3 linked regions of the Xenopus tropicalis genome follow. The protein of the gene in region 2 purifies or fractionates together with the protein of the main gene of each other region. This does not show direct contact. Links are inferred from orthologs where the notes say so. Each region holds a gene or a part of one and is shown on either strand. Other genes may lie near its edges.

Region 1 (8,214 bases), on a different chromosome or scaffold from region 2:
GCTCCCGATAGTAACCCTAATTTGTGTGAAAGTGATAGGGACTTTAGACTAAAAGTTCTACTGGGGCGGGGACTGACATAAATGTGTAATCTATGAAAAATGATGTATAAAGCAGTTTGTTTTCATAAATTCGTTTTTTTTTTTTTAAGTGAAACAAAATGTTAAGAGAAATGTAAGAAATTAAAGAAATGTTATAAAATCTGTCATATGATGTGCCTCCCCTAAGTGAATATACAGGGTCTTTGATGAAGTCATATGATGGGGGTTGTACAGGGGGGTTGCCTGGCAAAAGCTGCCCTTTTAACCAGTTGTTTGTATCACAGCACTGGTTTTCTTGAAAGGTTCCTGTGTGTATTTAAATGTTTAAAGCGCAGGCACCCAGGTAAATACATTTATGCAAGGGTACATAATATTTAGATGTCTAGATAGATACAGATGTAATTCATGGTTTTTGCAACAAAAAGAAATATGAGTATGGAGCTTTTTAATTCATACCTTTAATTTTCCACTTACACCCAGGTACTTGTGCCTATATATAAATCAGGGTTGTCCAACTGGAGGCCCACAGGTCTGATGTGGCCCTCCACAGGATTTTTATGGCCTCCGGTCTGCTCTGAAGCGCCATGAACTTTACTATATGACATTTAAATTGAATGTGGCCCTCCAACATGCTGTATGAGCTATATCTGGCATAGAACTTTTAATTAGGGATGCACCAAATCCACTATTTTTGGATTTGGCCGAACGCTTTATAAAAGATTTGGCTGAATAGCAAACCAAATTTGCACAGGTAAATAAGGATATGTAAAGGTTAAAGAGCTCTGTGCGCTGTGACAAATTTACTACTTACGTGTTTATGTGACAAGTCAAGTGATTTTATGGATTTCGGGTCAGCCAGGAGCATGAAAAGGAGTGAATCTTGGCCAAATCCTGAACCGAATCCTGGATTTGGTGCATCCCTACTTTTAACAAGTTAACAGAACTGCCTAAGATTAGGCTAAACATACAAAATACATGCCAGATATGAGATATATACAATGTCAGATATGGGATAAATATACTGCAAAAGCGCTCAGAAAAGTGCTCAGAGTAACTTTGCATCAATTCATTTTTTGGGCTTAGACCCCCTTTAACCGGTCGCTACCTTTAAGAAAGGCTTTCTATAAAAGGTTACATGTAATACAGTCTGCTGGAATAGCTAGTAACAATCTAGATTATCCATCTTTATTTACAAACTAAATTCTCACTGAAACAATTCCTAGCACAATATTCACCAACCACTGTACAAAATGCTACCCATGAAACACTGACAAGGTAACTGAAGTACTAAAAACATATTTACCTTGTTGCTGCCTCTTGCTTTGCTGCATATATTAGAGTCATGGCTGGCAACGATTTCTACATCTTTAGCAGTGATTTCAATGCAAGAAGAGCTGTCATCTCCAGATAGGCAACTAAGACAATAATAACAGTGATTAAGGCTGGGACAAAAAACAAAACAATAACATTTTTGACTGAAAACATATAGGACTTATATAAAGGTATAAAACTGTCAATACGGTGAATAATGTGGTATACAACAATTTGCATCTCATTCTGGTGATATAACAGAATAAAAAGAGGCAAAAAGATGAACGGTTTCTAAGTTTGAGGAGTTGTTTTTAATATTGTTTTGCAGAGTGGCTTATATGAAACAATGCTATGAGCCACAGGGCCAACTCAGTTATTTGTAAATTACCCTAATGAAGGTATGTACTGTACTGTAATATGACCACTGGGCATTATACTTTATTTGCACTCAGGAAGAAAGATCACATTGATGTGAATTAAATATTGCAATTTTTTTCTTTACAACTTGCCAATTATACAAGTTTCTCTGTACTAAGCCTGTTGAGTGTTGTGTTTCATAATATAAGAATAGTTTACAAGCTTTGTTTCCAAAAAAGCCTAAGTTCAGTTTTAAACGGGCACGGAACTTAAAGTAGAACTATACCCCCAGGTGATAAAAGCCCCCATTAACCCCTATCACCTCTCCCTTATTGCATAGTTTCTAAGCTTAAAGGAGAAGGAAAGGTAAAAACTAAGTAAGATTTATCAGAAAGCTCTATGTAAATACAACCATAAGCACTCACAGAAACGCTGCACTGACTTCTCTGTCAAAAGATTTGTGGTGTCTGTTTTCCTCTGCCAGAGACACACAGCTCTCTCCCCTCTCCTGCTCCCTACTCCCTCAAGAATACCAAGAACTCACTCCCCCCTTAGGAATGTATATCTGAGCCAATCAGCAGGAAGCTTCCTCATAGTCTTACAAACTAAGCATGTACACTGGTCTGGGTCTCTGTGCAGGAGCAAGGCATTATGAGAACTTTATTTACACAGCTCAGAGTTTTTTTCTTCCTGTTTGGCTTCTGATCATTTGCACAGGTGAAATATGAGGAGACTTAAGGGCACTATTGAGAGAATTGAAGGTATGCCTGCAGCTTGAGATTAACTCTTTATTAGCCATTCCTTCACCTTTAACAACCGTCCCTATCACTAACCCCTAGCTAAAACAGCAAAGTAGCACAGCAGCGTACCCGACAGACATCTTCTTAGCAACTGAAGACACTTCAGTTGCACCACAGGTCTCACCACCAACACGGACCCTGCTTGCTCATGCACAGTTTAAGCAGTTTTCCTCCTTCCACCAACTGCACAAGCGCAAGCAGAGCCGTTTTATGCGATAAGGGAGATGTGTGGGGGGGGGGTCAAGGCAGTGATAATTAAGGGGGCTTTTATCGCCTGGGGGTATAGTCCTCCTTTAAAAGAGTAATTAAGCCACTCTGATACACTATACAACATGCTAGACATTTTTTTGAGCCCACGGCCTGGAGCCTATAGATGTAAGGGATGGGTTATGTGCAGCAGCCTCATACAAGGAGTGTATTTTGAACATCCTGGTAAAAAATGATCAAGCAGAGATTGACCTGTACTTCCACAAAGGTTGTCTACATAATTAAAAGCCCATATGGGCTATTATATTGTGGAAAGACAGTAAAATAACTCAAAGAAAGGATGCACAGGGCATCCCATAAGGGCAGCATTAGATCCTAAAAGGCAGAAAAAAAAATTGAGGAGAAGGATATAGCAAAATAACCGGTAGCGAAGCAATAGGCAGATGCCCAAGAGGTGAGGATTTAGCAAAGGAGCTCCTTAAATTAATTAGAGACATATTGGATACACAAGTTAAACCGTGCAACATCAAGGGGCTTGAATGGACAATTTAGTATGGCTTGCTTTCAGACATGAGTTCTGTGATATCCTAACATCCTAATATATGTGTGGTTTTTAATTTTTAAAACAATGGTTAGATATAAAAGTTGTTTTTTTTTTTGTTTTTTTTTTATATATATTTTTCAGGATGGACGGTCTTAAATCATGGCCAATGCAAAGGTCATTGGACTTTTTTGTATTTTTGGAACTTTTTGTAATTGAAATACACTATATACTTTTTATAATTCTTATAATGCTGTTTAAGGAGTATCACGTGCTACTATTATTGTATATATTGTTAAATCTTACACTTGATCACTGGAACATATAGCAATGTGTTTTTAACAGCATTTAATATTGAAAGTTTTAATATTATATATAAATTTGGGTATCTTAGAATGGTAAAATGCACAGTTACTAGGATGTGTTTGGTATGGCAACATGATAGAACGCACAGTCACTTTTTCAGGTGATTAAGTGAGCGACACCAAGGGGCTGATTCATTAAAGTTCGAATTAAGAGTACGATTTGTGAAAATTCCCATTAAATATGAAAATTTCTCATGTGCGTTAATTTAGCGAAAAGTCGCACCGTGCTTGTACGAAAATATTGTGGTACAATCCGAAAGTTATGAAATATTCATATCCGAACAATCACAAACGTCTGACTTTGATCCTTTTGTGCATGATTTTGGAAGCCTCCCATAGGACTCAATGGCACTCTGCAGCTCTAACCTGGCCCAAGGAAAGTCACGATACCAAAGCTTGAATGAATTCCGAAACTTTCGTACTCGCTGCGACAAATATGATTTTGTCGCACCAATTATTGCAAAGTACGAAAAAGTCGTGCAAATTAACGAAAATACACAAAAGTTGTGCCCCCAAGTGGACAGACCTATTGACATGAATTAACAGGTCGTTTGATCTTAAAGTCATTATTTGTTATCCTTGATAAAGGTCCTAATGTGGACCGAAACGTTAGCCTAACTGGGCCAATTGATATACATGTTCTATGTGCCCCCAGCCACACGTGGCCTTTTCATATGGCCATTAAGGACAAGCTCCTCTTGTCTCTATTACCTGCTGACACTTGTGCCTTTTTGCCATGGCAACGCGACTCGCTCCTGCTCCTTGTGCGCCATTTGGATATGGCTTTTGTAAGTAATTCTTTCTAGTCCTGTACAGCTATGGTCCTATACTTGCTAGATTGTATCGGTTACCCCATCACAAGCTTCTATTTTATGTAACACATCCTAATCGCTACATTTCCTCCTTTTTGAAAATATGTTTCAAACAGCCACTTATACTTATGTTCACTGGTTTGCATTTTTTTTCTGATACAGTTTCCTTTTTGTTGAATCCTTTCATATTAGTCCTATTTTGCTTAATCGTTACTATTTCTGCTGTGGGGGATGGGTGACATCACAGTGATTTGGCCCAAATTCAATCACAGGGTATTTAATGGGGATTTGGACACCATAACGCATCTTGAGAAAGGTCCTAAATTGTGACCGAAATGTCGATTTTTGCACAATAAAGAACATTTTGTTTTTTCACCAACTGCGAGTCCTCTGTTATCTAAACACATATACACAAGAGAAGTTGGCATTCAGGTAACAGTATTTGACAGGACATAAAAGGGCTGTACAGAATGAGAGTTTGGTAAACCTGGGAGAAAGATACACTCACATGATCTGTCTTTCTGAACTCAACACTGCAGCACTGCAGAGGTTTGTATCAGACAAGGAGGTACCCACAGCTGCAACTTGATCAGTAACAAGAAGACCATTCAGATCACTGCTGAAGGAGGAGTTAGATTTCCTCTGGTTTCCATTAACTGAATCTGAAAAAAAGTTTGTTTATTTTAAAGTTTTTTGCATTGCAAGTTGATCACATCTACCTCCAGAATTGCAGCCCAATATTTAAAAGTGGAACGCTGACCAACTACATTCCAGATTTTTTGTGAACAAATCCTATCTGGCCACATAGGTTATTGATCCTCCAAGTGAACCTACTAGTTCCCCATGAACCTATTAGTACCAGACAACACTGTTTAAAAAGCTGACAACTAGACAGGCATGGTGTGGTCACTTTTTCAACGACAAACTCCACTTCAGTCAGAAGTTGCAGTCAAGGTCAGCATTGATAAAGCAAATGCTTCAATTTGGCTTACAGCTGAAAGATTTAAAAACTACACAGTTATCGCTGCACTTTACTTTACTAAATAGATAACACACATATTCACCTTTGTTTTATGATATGCCGATGTATAAATGTAAACTACATTTCTCAAACTGTAAACAGCATGATTTGTAATGTGTTGGGAAAACTACTTTGAAGTCATTTTTATAGCCGAAAAACCTCCCCAAAAATTAAAAATCTAGAGAATGACTAGGGCAAAAATGGAGTGCAAAAGATTTATACAATACTCAAGCCAGTGAATACTAAATAGAAGTTTTGTTGTTTTTTTTGGTAACATAGGCAGCAGACAAAAAGGGCTTGAAAAGCACTTTCCAGGTTTGTTCTTCACCAACCCAAATAATTCCAAAGAATCCACTCCCGGAGCAGCGATTTTGGCCACGGACTACTTATCAATAAAACTTGTTTATCTATTTTAAACATTTTAGTTATTTTACTTTTTTTTTCCAGTGATTATACTTGTATTGTTGTTCAAAAACTCAAGTTAAAGGGTTAGGGTAAATTGTTTGTCTTTCAAGACTTTTGCATCCAGCTCATCAAAAGGTTACAAAAGGTTGTAAGATTTTTTTTTACCCACTCTGGCTTTGCCTGTGTTTGAAAAGTTATTTAAGTAAAATACAGTATTATTTAAGTAAACTATCTGTGCAGTGTGATATAGCTGGCAACTTTTTTTTTTTTTTTTATAAAACTGTGACAACTTTGTTTTGACATTTCCCACTGAATGCGCCTATTGAATAGATTTCTGCATTATGTATGCCGTCTGCTTGATCAGTTGAAAAAATTAGCAAATGCTGCTTATGTACTTATGCACTAGCAGAGCCAAAATTCCAATTAAAAAATTGGAAATTACATCTCTTGAAATTACCAGTTGTAGCTTTTTGCTGCCCCTGGTAACTTGCAGGCTGCTGTCACACATGGCAGCAGCACCCCTGGGTAACCTACATGCTAGTGGTAGCACTGGTAATTGTATGGAAGTACATTAGTTCATAAGGTCACACTGTATGTGGCTTCCTAAAAGTTGTTCTATAATAACTCCTTCTTGGTAATTATTTACTGAAACAATGTCTACTCATCAGCTTGACACATTTTACAACCAACACCTGCCATACATGTCCACTGAAACCCTACCCCAACGCCTTTTACACTTGCCCATTCTGGTTCCACCCTGGTCATTCCCTATCTCCATTGGCATATGTCGAGACCCTGTCTCAGTTCCCCTGTTCTTCTCATACCATGTTTCTAGAAAATTCAATATAGCTGTTTGGATTTCAATTAAATCTTTATCCTGAAGCCACCTGGATCTTTTCATGCACGGGGACTTAAACAGTTTGTTTTTGTTTCAAAAACATCAAGCCTCTGCGTACAGTGGCCTGAATAACTCAGGGCTCTGCCTTGTGTGTTATTTCATGTTACCACAAATCATTCATTTCGACACAGAATGAAATTAGGGATCAGCCTCCCAAATAAAGACGTGCTTTACCAGCTTATTTGTCCTTCTTTTAACTTTCTCTAATTCAATAATATTCTACTTTAGCACTTGAGACCAAAACAGCACTGCATTTTCTTCTAGATAGGAACTGTTTGTAAAGAAAAATTATCCACTCCTCCCATGAATGTATGCCCTTTTAATAAAACTCAAAACCTTGTTTGCCCTTGCAGCTGCTGACTGGCATTGCTTGCTGCAGCCAAGTTTCTACAATCCCTTTAGGCCCTTCACCATTATGGATTTGTCTAACACAGTCCCATTGAATGTATAAGTTGCTTGTATATTTTATATCCCAGGTGCAAACACTGAATCTCATCTGCCACTTAGCCACCCAGTTTGCAGAGATCCTGCTGAAAAAGAGGTCACATCCTGTATGGAATTAATTGACCTACAAAGTTTTGTGCCCCCTCATAAGTAATTAATGAACAAATTAAAAAAATAGTTTTTACAGAACCCTATGGGAGCCCACTAAAACCCTCACTGTACACAATGCTTTAGCCAGTTTCCTATGTATAAACAACACTATACAGTCATGGGACCGGTTCTCCAGAATGCTTGGGACCTGGAATTTTCCAAGGTTTTCTGTAATTGGGTTCACCAAACCTTAAGTCTACCAATAAATCATTTAAACGTTAAATAAACACAATGGTATTGATTTGCCACCACTAAGGCTAGATTATATTTTAGTTGGGATCAAGCAACATTATTACGGAGTACAAGGAAACCATTTTTAAAAATGTGATTTGTTTTTTGTTGATTAAAATGCATTCTAGAGATGGGCTTCTTTTAATTAAACTTTCTGCATTACGGGTTTACTGATAACAGATCCCATACCTGTATTATGAAAAATAAGACCTTTATTCAATTTGCAGGTATTCAGAGCCACACAGTTACAGGTATACTTAGAAAGCTGATGTACTAAAAAACAAAATGTGGCTTTTCTAACTAGAATTAAATATTTACCCTCAGGTATCCTCTAAAGTTAAAAACAAAAATGTTGAACAATTGAATGGCTGTTTAGTGCACACACTTATCAAATATTTGCTGGCACTAAAAAAGTTAAACCATGAAGTTTATGTTTGGTCCTCTTTTGTTCCTAAGTCAAATTCCAAGATATAGCCATCTAGCAAATTAGGGTGACAAGTACATTTCTCAGTTTCTATTCTTCACAGTAAAACTGTTCTTTAATCACTTCTGCTTTTTCCAGAATTATCAGGTGGCAAAACGTTAGACATGGCCACCATTCCCCCTTCCACTGATTACAAAATCAAACTCCTC
Region 2 (8,214 bases):
ACAGGTACTGTTTTATTATTACAGAGAAAAGGGAATCATTTAACCATTAAATAAACCCAATAGGGCTGTTCTGCCCCCAATAAGGGGTAATTATATCTTAGTTGGGATCAAGTACAGGTACTGTTTTATTATTACAGAGAAAAGGGAATCATTTAACCATTAAATAACCCCAATAGGGCTGTTCTGCCCCAATAAGGGGTAATTATATCTTAGTTGGGATCAAGTACAGGTACTGTTTTATTATTACAGAGAAAAGGGAATCATTTAACCATGAAATAAACCCAATAGGGCTGTTCTGCCCCCAATAAGGGGTAATTATATCTTAGTTGGGATCAAGTACAGGTACTGTTTTATTATTACAGAGAAAAGGGAATCATTTAACCATTAAATAAACCCAATAGGGCTGTTCTGCCCCCAATAAGGGGTAATTATATCTTAGTTGGGATCAAGTACAGGTACTGTTTTATTATTACAGAGAAAAGGGAATCATTTAACCATGAAATAAACCCAATAGGGCTGTTCTGCCCCCAATAAGGGGTAATTATATCTTAGTTGGGATCAAGTACAGGTACTGTTTTATTATTACAGAGAAAAGGGAATCATTTAACCATTATATAAACCTTTTTTGATTGCGAGTGCGGTGGTACCGATTCTTTCTATTTACTAAATTTTATCAGCACCCAGGCGGTTAATTTTGTTTTGAGTGCTCCTCTTGGGTCTATATTTTCCAGACAGTGGAATGGAAGATTTCAAATTCTTTTGAGATCTTTTGAAATCCCTTACCAGACTTATAAGCTGCTACAATCTTCTTTGTAAGGCTCATGCCACACCAGGCGTAGGGCTGATTTTTTCGGCAAGCGGAAAAACGCTTGCCGAAAATTCAGCCCTACGCCTGCTACTTGTGCCTGCACCCGAATGAATGGAATACGCTCGGGTGCAGGCACATGTAGCCGATATACGCAAGAAAACGCGAGACTTTGCATTCTCGCGCGTTTTCGTGCGTATATCGGCTACATGTGCCTGCACCCGAGCGTATTCCATTCATTCGGGTGCAGGCACAAGTAGCAGGCGTAGGGCTGATTTTTCGGCAAGCGTTTTTCCGCTTGCCGAAAAAATCAGCCCTACGCCTGGTGTGGCATCAGCCTAAGGGCCTCAGGCAGTTCTAATCATGTGCACCTGATGTGATACACCTGTGTGTGATTTGAGCCATTTTAGGCGGGACTAAATGCTGGGGTGTCCTGATTTATTCCTCACCAGAAATTGCATTATATATATGAGAGAACTGTGGGGTTTTTTTTTTTTTACTTTTACATTATATATACATATACATACATACATACATATATATATATAAATATATATATATATAAACCAATTCAAAGTGTCGGCACTCATAGGATTTCCGCAACAAAAGCACAGCAAATAAAGTTTCTTATTAATGCAGGTGATGTGGTTTATTAATCCGACGTTTCAGTCCTTTACTTGGACTTTCATCAGGGAGATGAAAGTCCAAGTAAAGGACTGAAACGTCGGATTAATAAACCACATCACCTGCATTAATAAGAAACTTTATTTGCTGTGCTTTTGTTGCGGAAATCCTATGAGTGCCGACACTTTGAATTGGTTTGTAGATTTTTTTCAGCTCTGGCACCTAGGTTTTTATTATACTTAATGGTGTGCTCCCACTCTGGATTGTATATATATATATATATATATATATATATATATAAATATATATATATATATACACACACACTTTCTCTGTAGCCCTATGCTCAGATCTCACCTGGATAAGGTGCAGCAGGGTCTCCTGGAGCTGACTCCTAGTGAGGACGCCGTTCCAGCTATTCATGGTGTTCGTGGGGTTCTCTGGGAATGCAGCGGGGAAGAGCAGATTGGAGGGCTCTTTGGTACAAAGGGAGAGGTTGGCTGTTTCATTTGTCCTGGTCTGCAGGCTTGGCTGGGCAAATACCATGGGGGACATCAGCAGTGCTGGTGACACAGAGGCTGGGATATGCTGAGGAGAGGAGGCTTGCTGTGGATAGAAAGGGCAGCATATTACAGGCTTATTGCTGGCAGACACATTACCAAGAGGTGGGTTGCTGCCATAGTGTTTCCCTTAGACAGTACAGTATGGGGGTACAGCTTATTGTGTGCCCAGAACATTCCTTCTCTGTATATTTGTATTTATACATATGGGAGGGAGGTGCCATAATGTTTCCCTTAGACCAGTGATCCCCAACCAGTGTCTCAGGGGCAACATGTTGCTCCCCAACCCCTTGGATGTTGCTCTCAGTGCCCCCAAACCAGGGAGTTATTTTTGAATTCCTGACTTGGGGGCAAGTTTTGGTTGAATAAAAACAAGATTTCCTACCAAATAAAGCCCCCTGTAAGCTGATAGGGTGCATAGAGGCCCCTAATAGCCAATCACAGCCCTTATTTGGCTCCTCCATGAACTTTTATGGTGCTTGTGTTGCTCCCCAAGTCTTTTTACATTTGACTGTGGCTCACGAGTAAGAAAGGTTGGGGATCCCTGCCTTAGACAGTACAGTATGGGGGTACAGCTTATTGTGTGCCCAGAACATTCCTTCTCTGTATATTTGTATTTATACATATGGGTAGGAGGTGCCATAGTGTTTCCCTTAGACAGTACAGTATGGGGGTACAGCTTATTGTGTGCCCAGAACATTCCTTCTCTGTATATTTGTATTTATACATATGGGTAGGGGGTGCCATAGTGTTTCCCTTAGACAGTACAGTATGGGGGTACAGCTTATTGTGTGCCCAGAACATTCCTTCTCTGTATATTTGTATTTATACATATGGGTAGGGGGTGCCATAGTGTTTCCCTTAGACAGTACAGTATGGGGGTACAGCTTATTGTGTGCCCAGAACATTCCTTCTCTGTATATTTGTATTTATACATATGGGTAGGGGGTGCCATAGTGTTTCCCTTAGACAGTACAGTATGGGGGTACAGCTTATTGTGTGCCCAGAACATTCCTTCTCTGTATATTTGTATTTATACATATGGGTAGGGGGTGCCATAGTGTTTCCCTTAGACAGTACAGTATGGGGGTACAGCTTATTGTGTGCCCAGAACATTCCTTCTCTGTATATTTGTATTTATACATATGGGTAGGGGGTGCCATAGTGTTTCCCTTAGACAGTACAGTATGGGGGTACAGCTTATTGTGTGCCCAGAACATTCCTTCTCTGTATATTTGTATTTATACATATGGGTAGGAGGTGCCATAGTGTTTCCCTTAGACAGTACAGTATGGGGGTACAGCTTATTGTGTGCCCAGAACATTCCTTCTCTGTATCCTTGCATTTATACATATGGGAAATAGCTGCAATATTGTTTTTTAGAACAATATAATATAGTTTATAGTATAGAGAACATTTCTTCTCTGTATATATATATATATATATATATATATATATATATATATATATATATATATATATATATACATATTTGGAGGGAAGCTGCTATATTGCTTCCCTTGTTCCAGGGATTCCTATCCTATGAGTTTCCCATGGTGCAAAGCGTGGGTTTCCATGATGCCATTTAGAATGGTAGATCACATTTACATAAATGACAAAATGACAGACTGCAGAACCACATATGGGCACTTCCCTGCCAGCTGAGAATATGTGCCAAGAGTCTTGTCAGAAAACGAAAATGCATGTAACAATATGACATTAAATTCAGTTGCATGCATGTATATATCTAGATACAGGTATGGGATCCCTTATCCGGAAACCCGTTATCCAGAAAGTTCTAAAATTACAGAAAGGCCGTCTCCCATAGACTTCATTATAAGCAAATAATTCTAATTTCTGAAAATTATTTACATTTTCTCTGTAATAATAAAACAGTACCTGTACTTGATCCCAACTAAGATATAATTACCCCTTATTGGGGGCAGAACAGCCCTATTGGGTTTATTTCATGGTTAAATGATTCCCTTTTCTCTGTAATAATAAAACAGTACCTGTACTTGATCCCAACTAAGATATAATTACCCCTTATTGGGGGCAGAACAGCCCTATTGGGTTTATTTCATGGTTAAATGATTCCCTTTTCTCTGTAATAATAAAACAGTACCTGTACTTGATCCCAACTAAGATATAATTACCCCTTATTGGGGGCAGAACAGCCCTATTGGGTTTATTTAATGGTTAAATGATTCCCTTTTCTCTGTAATAATAAAACAGTACCTGTACTTGATCCCAACTAAGATATAATTACCCCTTATTGGGGGCAGAACAGCCCTATTGGGTTTATTTCATGGTTAAATGATTCCCTTTTCTCTGTAATAATAAAACAGTACCTGTACTTGATCCCAACTAAGACATAATTACCCCTTATTGGGGGCAGAACAATCCTATTAGGTTTATTCAATATTAAATGATTCTTAGCAGGCGTAAGGTATGGAAATCCAAAATACGGAAAGATCCCTTAACCGGAAAACCCCAGCATTCTGGTCCCATACCTATATATTACCACTTTGTTTTAATACTCTTGTTACTCGGATACCTGAAGGAGCAGATTCTGTTTCTCAGCCCGAGGAATATTTTCCACCCAGGATGTTTTCGGCACGCTCTGGGAGACCACCGGGAATTTAGCCGCTAGGGCCGGCCTGGGATTGCTTTGCATTTGCTGCTCCTGGCGCACCAGATTTAGCTTCTTGAGCAGCTCCTGTGGGGAGATGGTGCCAGAGGCCATGACAGGTTGAGAAGACAAAGGCAATGGAGGCATTGGGGCTGAAGTCCTTTGGTTCGGCAGAGAGCAGTCGTGGTAATTAAGTGAGTGTGCAGCGCACGAGGACACCATGTCGGCGTTGGGTCCCCCCACTGGGGCTGTGTGAAGGGTTTGCAAGAGAGTTTTCCCGCTCTCATAGTCCTGATTGGAAAAGGGAGCCTGGTGCGTCACCGGGATGAACAGGCCAGGGAGGATGTCCCCATCGGGGGGATAGCTGCCATTATGGCACGGCCTGTTCTCAGGAACCTCGGAGACGGGTTGCAGCCCACTTCCCGCCACCATGAGTTTCTGGATGGCAGGGCAAAGCTGCTTCTCGACATTCTCCGTCGCCTTCCCAGGTTCTTCATACGAGAGGGAACGGACCACCGAGTGGCGCACAGCGCCGGGTTCGGAATGAAGCTTCATCTGCTCTTGTGCTTTGTCTGGCTTCCCGAACAGAGCTGTAAGAGATAAATGCTGCTTTTCTGACTCCACAGCCTAAGGAAGGATAAAAAAAAAAACATAGTCACAGTTTAACACTATGGTGACTGTAAGTTTCACTCGTTTTCGGTGCTCTGGCTACCCAATTGCCAAGCTGGAGCATACAGTACTGCTCACCAATCATGGTCGCTCTGGGCGTGACCACTAGGGGGTGCCTAACAACCTGGCTGATGGTAGGTTTTCTGCCCTCATACATGTAATGGAAAGTAATAACTGGTGCAAAAGTTGCTACAGTTCAAGTAAACCAAAACAGCCAATCAACAGGTTATATTTATCAGTCTGTTGTTTACAAACATCTGATTGGTTGCTGTGGCTTACAGACCATTATTACACCATCACATTTGATAAACTATTACTAAGCTTTAATGAAGTATTCATAAAGCCCCAATAAATGGGTACTGGGTCAGGCCATGTTTCTATATAGGAACCTTGGTGTAGGGGTTCTGTTTTCACGCAGTTTACAGAGATTACTCCTTGGCCTTAAGGTGCCCATACCCCTTCAGATCTGCTCGCTTGGGGATGTTGCCAAGCAAGCGGATCTTCTCCCGATATCCCCCACCTACGGGTGGGCGGTATCGGGAGAATCCGGGCCAAACGATCAAATTATAACGGCGGGTATAGGCAAAGTCGGTCCGGGGGCTGCATCAACGAGCCGATGCGGTCCCCGATCCGACTAGATTTTTTAACCTGCCTGATCGATATCTGCCCGATTTCAGGTCAGAAATTGGTCGGGCAGGCCAGTCGTTAGTGCCCCTACAGGGGCCGATTAGCTGCCGAGTCTGTCTAAGGGACCCATATCGGCAGCTACTATCGGCCCGTGTATGGGGACCTTTAGGGTAGGCCACTGCTCCCTTCTAGGTGGGTCACAGTTAGGAAAGCACAACCCTAAGCCCCTACTGCTCTCACCTCTAACGCTCTCACCTTTCCCGGCTGGGACTCACTGGGTTTAACAGCAATGGGCTTGATGAGGTTGGGGTTGGTGTAGATGGCCGATGAGCTGGTGATCATCTTGGGCTCGGAGCACGACTTGCACTGTGCAAAGAAACACAACAATCAGACACTTCCATCTCTCACAAGTGGGTACGGAAACATTTGCACTTGCTTTCTGAAACCAACAGTTTCCTGACTCGTAGTAGGCTTAGTTTTCCTTTAAACAGGCAACCATATTTTTTTAGTAATTTGGCCACTGCCACTGTTCCAGCATATACAAAAAGTCACTGTATTGTCAACTCAATAATATGCCAGTGGAAGACCTACTAAGAGAGAGCTAGATATAGAGAGATAGATAGATAGATAGATAGATAGATAGATAGATAGATGGATGATAGATTGATAGATAGATAGATTTTATAGATAGATGACAGAGATAGATGATAGATAGATAGATAGAGAGATTAAATAGATAGATGATAGAGATAGATAGACAGACAGACAGATAGATAGATGATAGACAGAACTCAATAATATGCCAGTGGAAGACATACTAAGAGAGAGCTAGATATAGAGAGATAGATGATAGATAGATAGATAGATAGACAGATAGACAGACAGATAGACAGACAGATAGACAGACAGACAGACAGACAGACAGACAGACAGACAGACAGACAGACAGACAGATAGACAGACAGATAGACAGACAGATAGACAGACAGATAGACAGACAGATAGCCAGACAGATAGACAGACAGATAGACAGATAGATAGACAGATAGGCAGATTATAGACAGATAGCTAGATAGATAGACAGATTAAATAGATAGATGATAGATAGATAGATAGATAGATAGATAGATAGATAGATAGATAGATAGATAGATAGATAGACAGATAGATAGATAGATGGACAGACAGACAGATTAAATAGATAGATGATAGAGATAGATGATAGATAGATGATAGATAGATAGATTAAATAGATAGATGATAGATAGATAGATAGATAGGCAGACAGATAGATAGATGATAGACAGAACTCAATAATATGCCAGTGGAAGACCTACTAAGAGAGAGCTAGATATAGAGAGATAGATGATAGATAGATAGAGACAGATAGATAGATGATAGACAGATAGATAGATAGATGATAGACAGATAGATAGACAGATTAAATAGATAGATGATAGATAGATGATAGACAGATAGACAGCTAGATAGACAGCTAGATAGATAGACAGATTAAATAGATAGATGATAGATAGATAGACAGACAGATAGACAGACAGACAGATAGATAGATAGATGGACAGACATACAGATTAAATAGATAGATGATAGATAGATAGATAGATAGATAGATAGATGATAGATAGATGATAGATAGATAGATAGATAGATAGATAGGCAGACAGATAGATGATAGACAGAACTCAATAATATGCCAGTGGAAGACCTACTAAGAGAGAGCTAGATATAGAGAGATAGATGATAGATAGATAGACAGATAGATAGAGACAGATAGATAGATGATAGACAGATAGATAGATGATAGACAGATAGCTAGATAGATAGATTAAATAGATAGATGATAGACAGAACTCAATAATATGCCAGTGGAAGACCTACTAAGAGAGAGCTAGATATAGAGAGATAGATGATAGATAGATAGATAGATAGATAGATAGATAGATAGACAGACAGATAGATTATAGACAGATAGCTAGATAGACAGATTAAATAGATAGATGATAGACAGATTAAATAGATAGATGATAGATAGATGATAGACAGCTAGATAGACAGATTAAATAGATAGATGATAGATAGATAGATAGATAGATAGACAGATAGACAGATAGGCAGACAGATAGAGAGATTATAGACAGATAGCTAGATAGATAGATTAAATAGATAGATGATAGATAGACAGATTAAATAGATAGATGATAGACAGACAGAAAGACAGACAGACAGACAGATAGATAGACAGACAGACAGATATACGGGATTGTATTCTCCACACT
Region 3 (3,600 bases), about 120 Mb from region 2:
GGAAGTCAGTGGGATATATTTAGAATTCTGCATTAGAATTTGAGGCAGCTTAGCAACATCACGACACTCACTGCCAACCATGGAGAAGATAAAGTGGTTAAATCAAAAAGTATCACAACGATCAGTACTGGGACCCACATTGTTTTTCAGTTTCTATTATTGTTATGGCTATGTTTTCCTGAGCCAAAATATAGGGGGCAAGGGGGTGCTGAGGAACAAGAATTGAACAGAAAAAACCTGATAAGCGCTAGAATGCCAAGAAGATAATGTATCTGTGTTTGCTTTGGAGATCAGTGAGGTTATTAGAACCCAGCATGGAAAGGGGTTCAGCACAGAAAGATCTGACTATAAAAGGCAATTGCTCAGGAAATGGCAGTCAGCTCACTGGGATTTACCAATTTGGAATGGAAAAGGAATGTATTGATTACAAGTCTGCCAAATATACACAGGGCTAGAAAGCTGCAGCACAGGATAATTATAAAGCAGTTAGATTCTAGGTTAGGTTTTATAGATGTATTGGCCGTAGGCACTTCTTAGGCCTCATTATGAAAGTGCTGAAAAGAATGTGGCCAGTCCTTACTGCACACGTTATAGGAGTTAATTTTGGAATAATTCAAATCAGGAATCTGTCCGCGTTATGGAGATGTTATCTGTATGAGTGTAACCATATTAAACGAATCTAATGCAAGCATTCTGTTTGGCAGCTCTGGAAATGGATTATGTGTGTAAATGCTGCTAGTACTTCATGTTGTTATACAGTAGCAATAAACTAGAAAGAATTTCTCATTAAAATACTCCCTCATAAAGCCTCCAATGTGATGGCTTGTCCCCCACCTACTGGCGGCCACCCTTAAAGCTCCATAGTGCTCTACCTAGCCCAACGGGTCTGATCATTTTTTTTAAAAAAATAGTATGGGTGCCATTGTTTGGGCATAACATATACTACCTTCTGGAGCACTAAAACATTATCTTGCCCAGTCCTGCGCTTAAGGGCAAATGCCCATACCTGGTGCACTCTTACCTTCCAATTTGTGCCTGTATGTTACCCAACCACTTAGATTGTAAGCTTTACGGGGCAGGGACCTCCTTCCTACTGTGTCTCATTCCACATGGCACTTACTCCCTGTGTATTTATACTTATTTACTGTATTTTTTATAACACTTGTCCTCCCTGTGTGTAATTTGGTATATTGTAAGATTGTACAGTGCTGCGTACCCTTGTGGCGCTTATACATACATACATATAAACATTTTGGAAAGACATCCCGCCACCTTAGTCAAGATTCCTGATGTTACCATATTAAGGGATGGCAGCATTACATTTTGCCATAGAAGAGCGCCCCCTTATGGCATAAGTTTAGGTTGTGGTTTCCCAAGTGTCATTGTACTCCAGCCCCATAAAGTTGCCTTATGGCAAGCAAAACAAAGGTCCCTCTGTATCAATTCATATTTGTGTGTGATCTGTATGTTTTATGTATATGAAAAGCTGCAAAATATGTTGTTGGTTTGTAAATACGTGTTAATATTAGTCAATTAAAACTGGCTTATAGTGGGCTTTACTTGACCTTTAAATGTTCAATTTCACTATATAGGAAATGAATGGCCAGTGTTTATGGAGGAGTAGCACAAAGGCGCCTCTAGAGGCTCTGTATATATATATATATATATATATATATACACACACGTATGTATTAGGTACCGGATATCCATGTATACAGGTAATGAATGGACACGTTTGGTATCCAACCCGCCCCCTGCCCAGATCCCCTCAGGAAAAGGTGCTGTAGTTTGGATGGATGGAAACAAGAAAGACACCCATGACACTTTACCTGATGACTTTGCGTCCTGACTTCTGCAATTACTCACCTGAGTTCCAGGAGCTCCTCCCCCTGTCCCTCCTCCGGCCCAGCTTCTCTCCGCCTCCTGTGGGTAATAGCCAGTTCTCCACTCTGCCTCACCTTCCCCCCGCTGTCTTGCCAGCACATCCGCTCCTGCACCCCCATAGTATCCCCCACCTCCCTCCACAGGCCTGTGCGCGGCAGACATGGACCCTCCAATTCAGGGAGCTAGAGAGTAAGCGAGTGTCAACTGAGCCGACGCAGAGCGACCAGTGAGAGCCTGGCACCTCGCCTACAGCCAATCAATACGAAGCTAGACAACAAACAGCCAATGGAGCGCAAGTGCGCTGATTCAGAAACGCCTCTATCTCTAGCTAGCGGCCAATAAAAAGTGAGAGGGAACTGATTGTCATCGGGGTCAGGGTAACTGCGCACGAACAGCACGTCATGTAAAAGTCACTTCATCCAATGGGAAAGTGAAAGGCATCGAATGCGTGAATGCGACCAATCGTTGTTGAGCAAAGTCGGCGAAATAATTGGGTTCAGATTTCTAATTGGCCGGTAACCATTTTAACCACGCCCACACTAGTTCAACCACCAATAGGACGAAATTGGAAGCCCAGCAAAAAATGTCGGGGAGGCGCAGAAGTCATCAGCCGGGCGCTTGAATATGGCGTCACGTACATATTCACCGCCCATAAGACGAGCCTTCGTCCCGCCGGAAGTGCCATTTTTTTAATAGGATGGCGGTGCTTTTGGAGGCCAGTTTTGTGTGTTGTCCGGTTTGAGGTAGTGGCCCGTGGAGGGTCGGGAAAGAGGATGAATTATATGCCCGGGACCGCCAGCCTCATAGAGGATATAGACAGTCAGTATTTGATTATATATGTCCCTGACTCCCAACAAGTGAGCTGGTTAAACGCAAGTCTGCAGCCTAGGCGCCATAGAAGGCATGGGCGATACACTCGTAGCTTAACATGTACCTTCCACCCCTACCATTGTGCGGTGCTGGGAGTTGTAGTTTAATACCTACACACATACTCACTACACTTGTAACTATGGGCAGAGTGAAGCATGGCAACAGATTCGCCGTTTGGCTTATGTGAATTGCTAAAGTAGTTTCTATTGAGCCACTTTCATATCTATTATCTCGTCTGTCATTCAAACCTGGTCTGTTCCCTAGCAACTAGCCAAATGGGCAACTGCAGTAGCCTTAGAAACACACTTAGCAAAGGGGAACTACATTGAAAAACTTAGTATATTGGAAAGTTGCATAGAAATAGTTACATGTTTTAAGTTATTTGCAAATGTAATGGCAGATGTATTTGTTGATCCCCCTTCTGTTCCCTGGGTCTGACTTTTGAAATACTGTAGCGGAAGTCGGCGGAAAGTAGCTGTCTGCTACTTTGTTACAGTAGTCTGAATCAGCAGTACAGGAAGGGACACCTGTTACATCCTTTTAATGTCAAATACCCCTAATCTTCAAGAAGAAGGAAAGGTTTATTGCCAATTCTTTGCTCAATGATTATAATCACTAAGCTTAGACCCTGGCTTGCACTCCTCACTGAAAACCTTTTTGGCCTGGCGTCCCCTATAATCGTATCCCAAGCTGGGGTGATTTTCAGCAAATTGCTGGGCATAAGGGGTTACAGAAGTGTAAAAAAGCCTTTCCTTCTCCTTTAGAGTGAAGCCACACAGAGCTAGTAGCAGCTACTTGTCACAGCTACTATAATAGACAATGCCGATAATTTACTAATTGTCTGTG

What was found.
Region 1: the proteins of dcp1b (region 2) and edc4 purify together in Homo sapiens (affinity purification with mass spectrometry; 3 studies listed by BioGRID and IntAct, with this or other methods). This does not show direct contact. The link is inferred for Xenopus tropicalis from reciprocal best matches to the Homo sapiens genes DCP1B and EDC4.
Region 3: the proteins of dcp1b (region 2) and bag4 purify together in Homo sapiens (affinity purification with mass spectrometry; 3 studies listed by BioGRID and IntAct, counting the BioPlex papers as one, with this or other methods). This does not show direct contact. The link is inferred for Xenopus tropicalis from reciprocal best matches to the Homo sapiens genes DCP1B and BAG4.

The regions. Positions count from the first base shown.
Region 1 is NC_030680.2:41,314,038-41,322,251, reverse strand, and holds part of edc4 (enhancer of mRNA-decapping protein 4), read right to left. Parts: intron 5,095-8,214; coding exon 4,941-5,094; intron 1,455-4,940; coding exon 1,343-1,454; intron 1-1,342. UniProt on the Homo sapiens protein: In the process of mRNA degradation, seems to play a role in mRNA decapping. Component of a complex containing DCP2 and DCP1A which functions in decapping of ARE-containing mRNAs. Promotes complex formation between DCP1A and DCP2.
Region 2 is NC_030679.2:9,163,570-9,171,783, reverse strand, and holds part of dcp1b (mRNA-decapping enzyme 1B), read right to left. Parts: intron 6,284-8,214; coding exon 6,158-6,283; intron 5,249-6,157; coding exon 4,547-5,248; intron 2,036-4,546; coding exon 1,787-2,035; intron 1-1,786. UniProt on the Homo sapiens protein: May play a role in the degradation of mRNAs, both in normal mRNA turnover and in nonsense-mediated mRNA decay. May remove the 7-methyl guanine cap structure from mRNA molecules, yielding a 5'-phosphorylated mRNA fragment and 7m-GDP.
Region 3 is NC_030679.2:132,219,486-132,223,085, reverse strand, and holds the start of bag4 (BAG family molecular chaperone regulator 4), read right to left. Parts: upstream 2,353-3,600; 5' UTR 2,047-2,352; coding exon 1,867-2,046; intron 1-1,866. Other genes in the region: U6 snRNA-associated Sm-like protein LSm1, read left to right, coding at 2,658-2,703. UniProt on the Homo sapiens protein: Inhibits the chaperone activity of HSP70/HSC70 by promoting substrate release. Prevents constitutive TNFRSF1A signaling. Negative regulator of PRKN translocation to damaged mitochondria.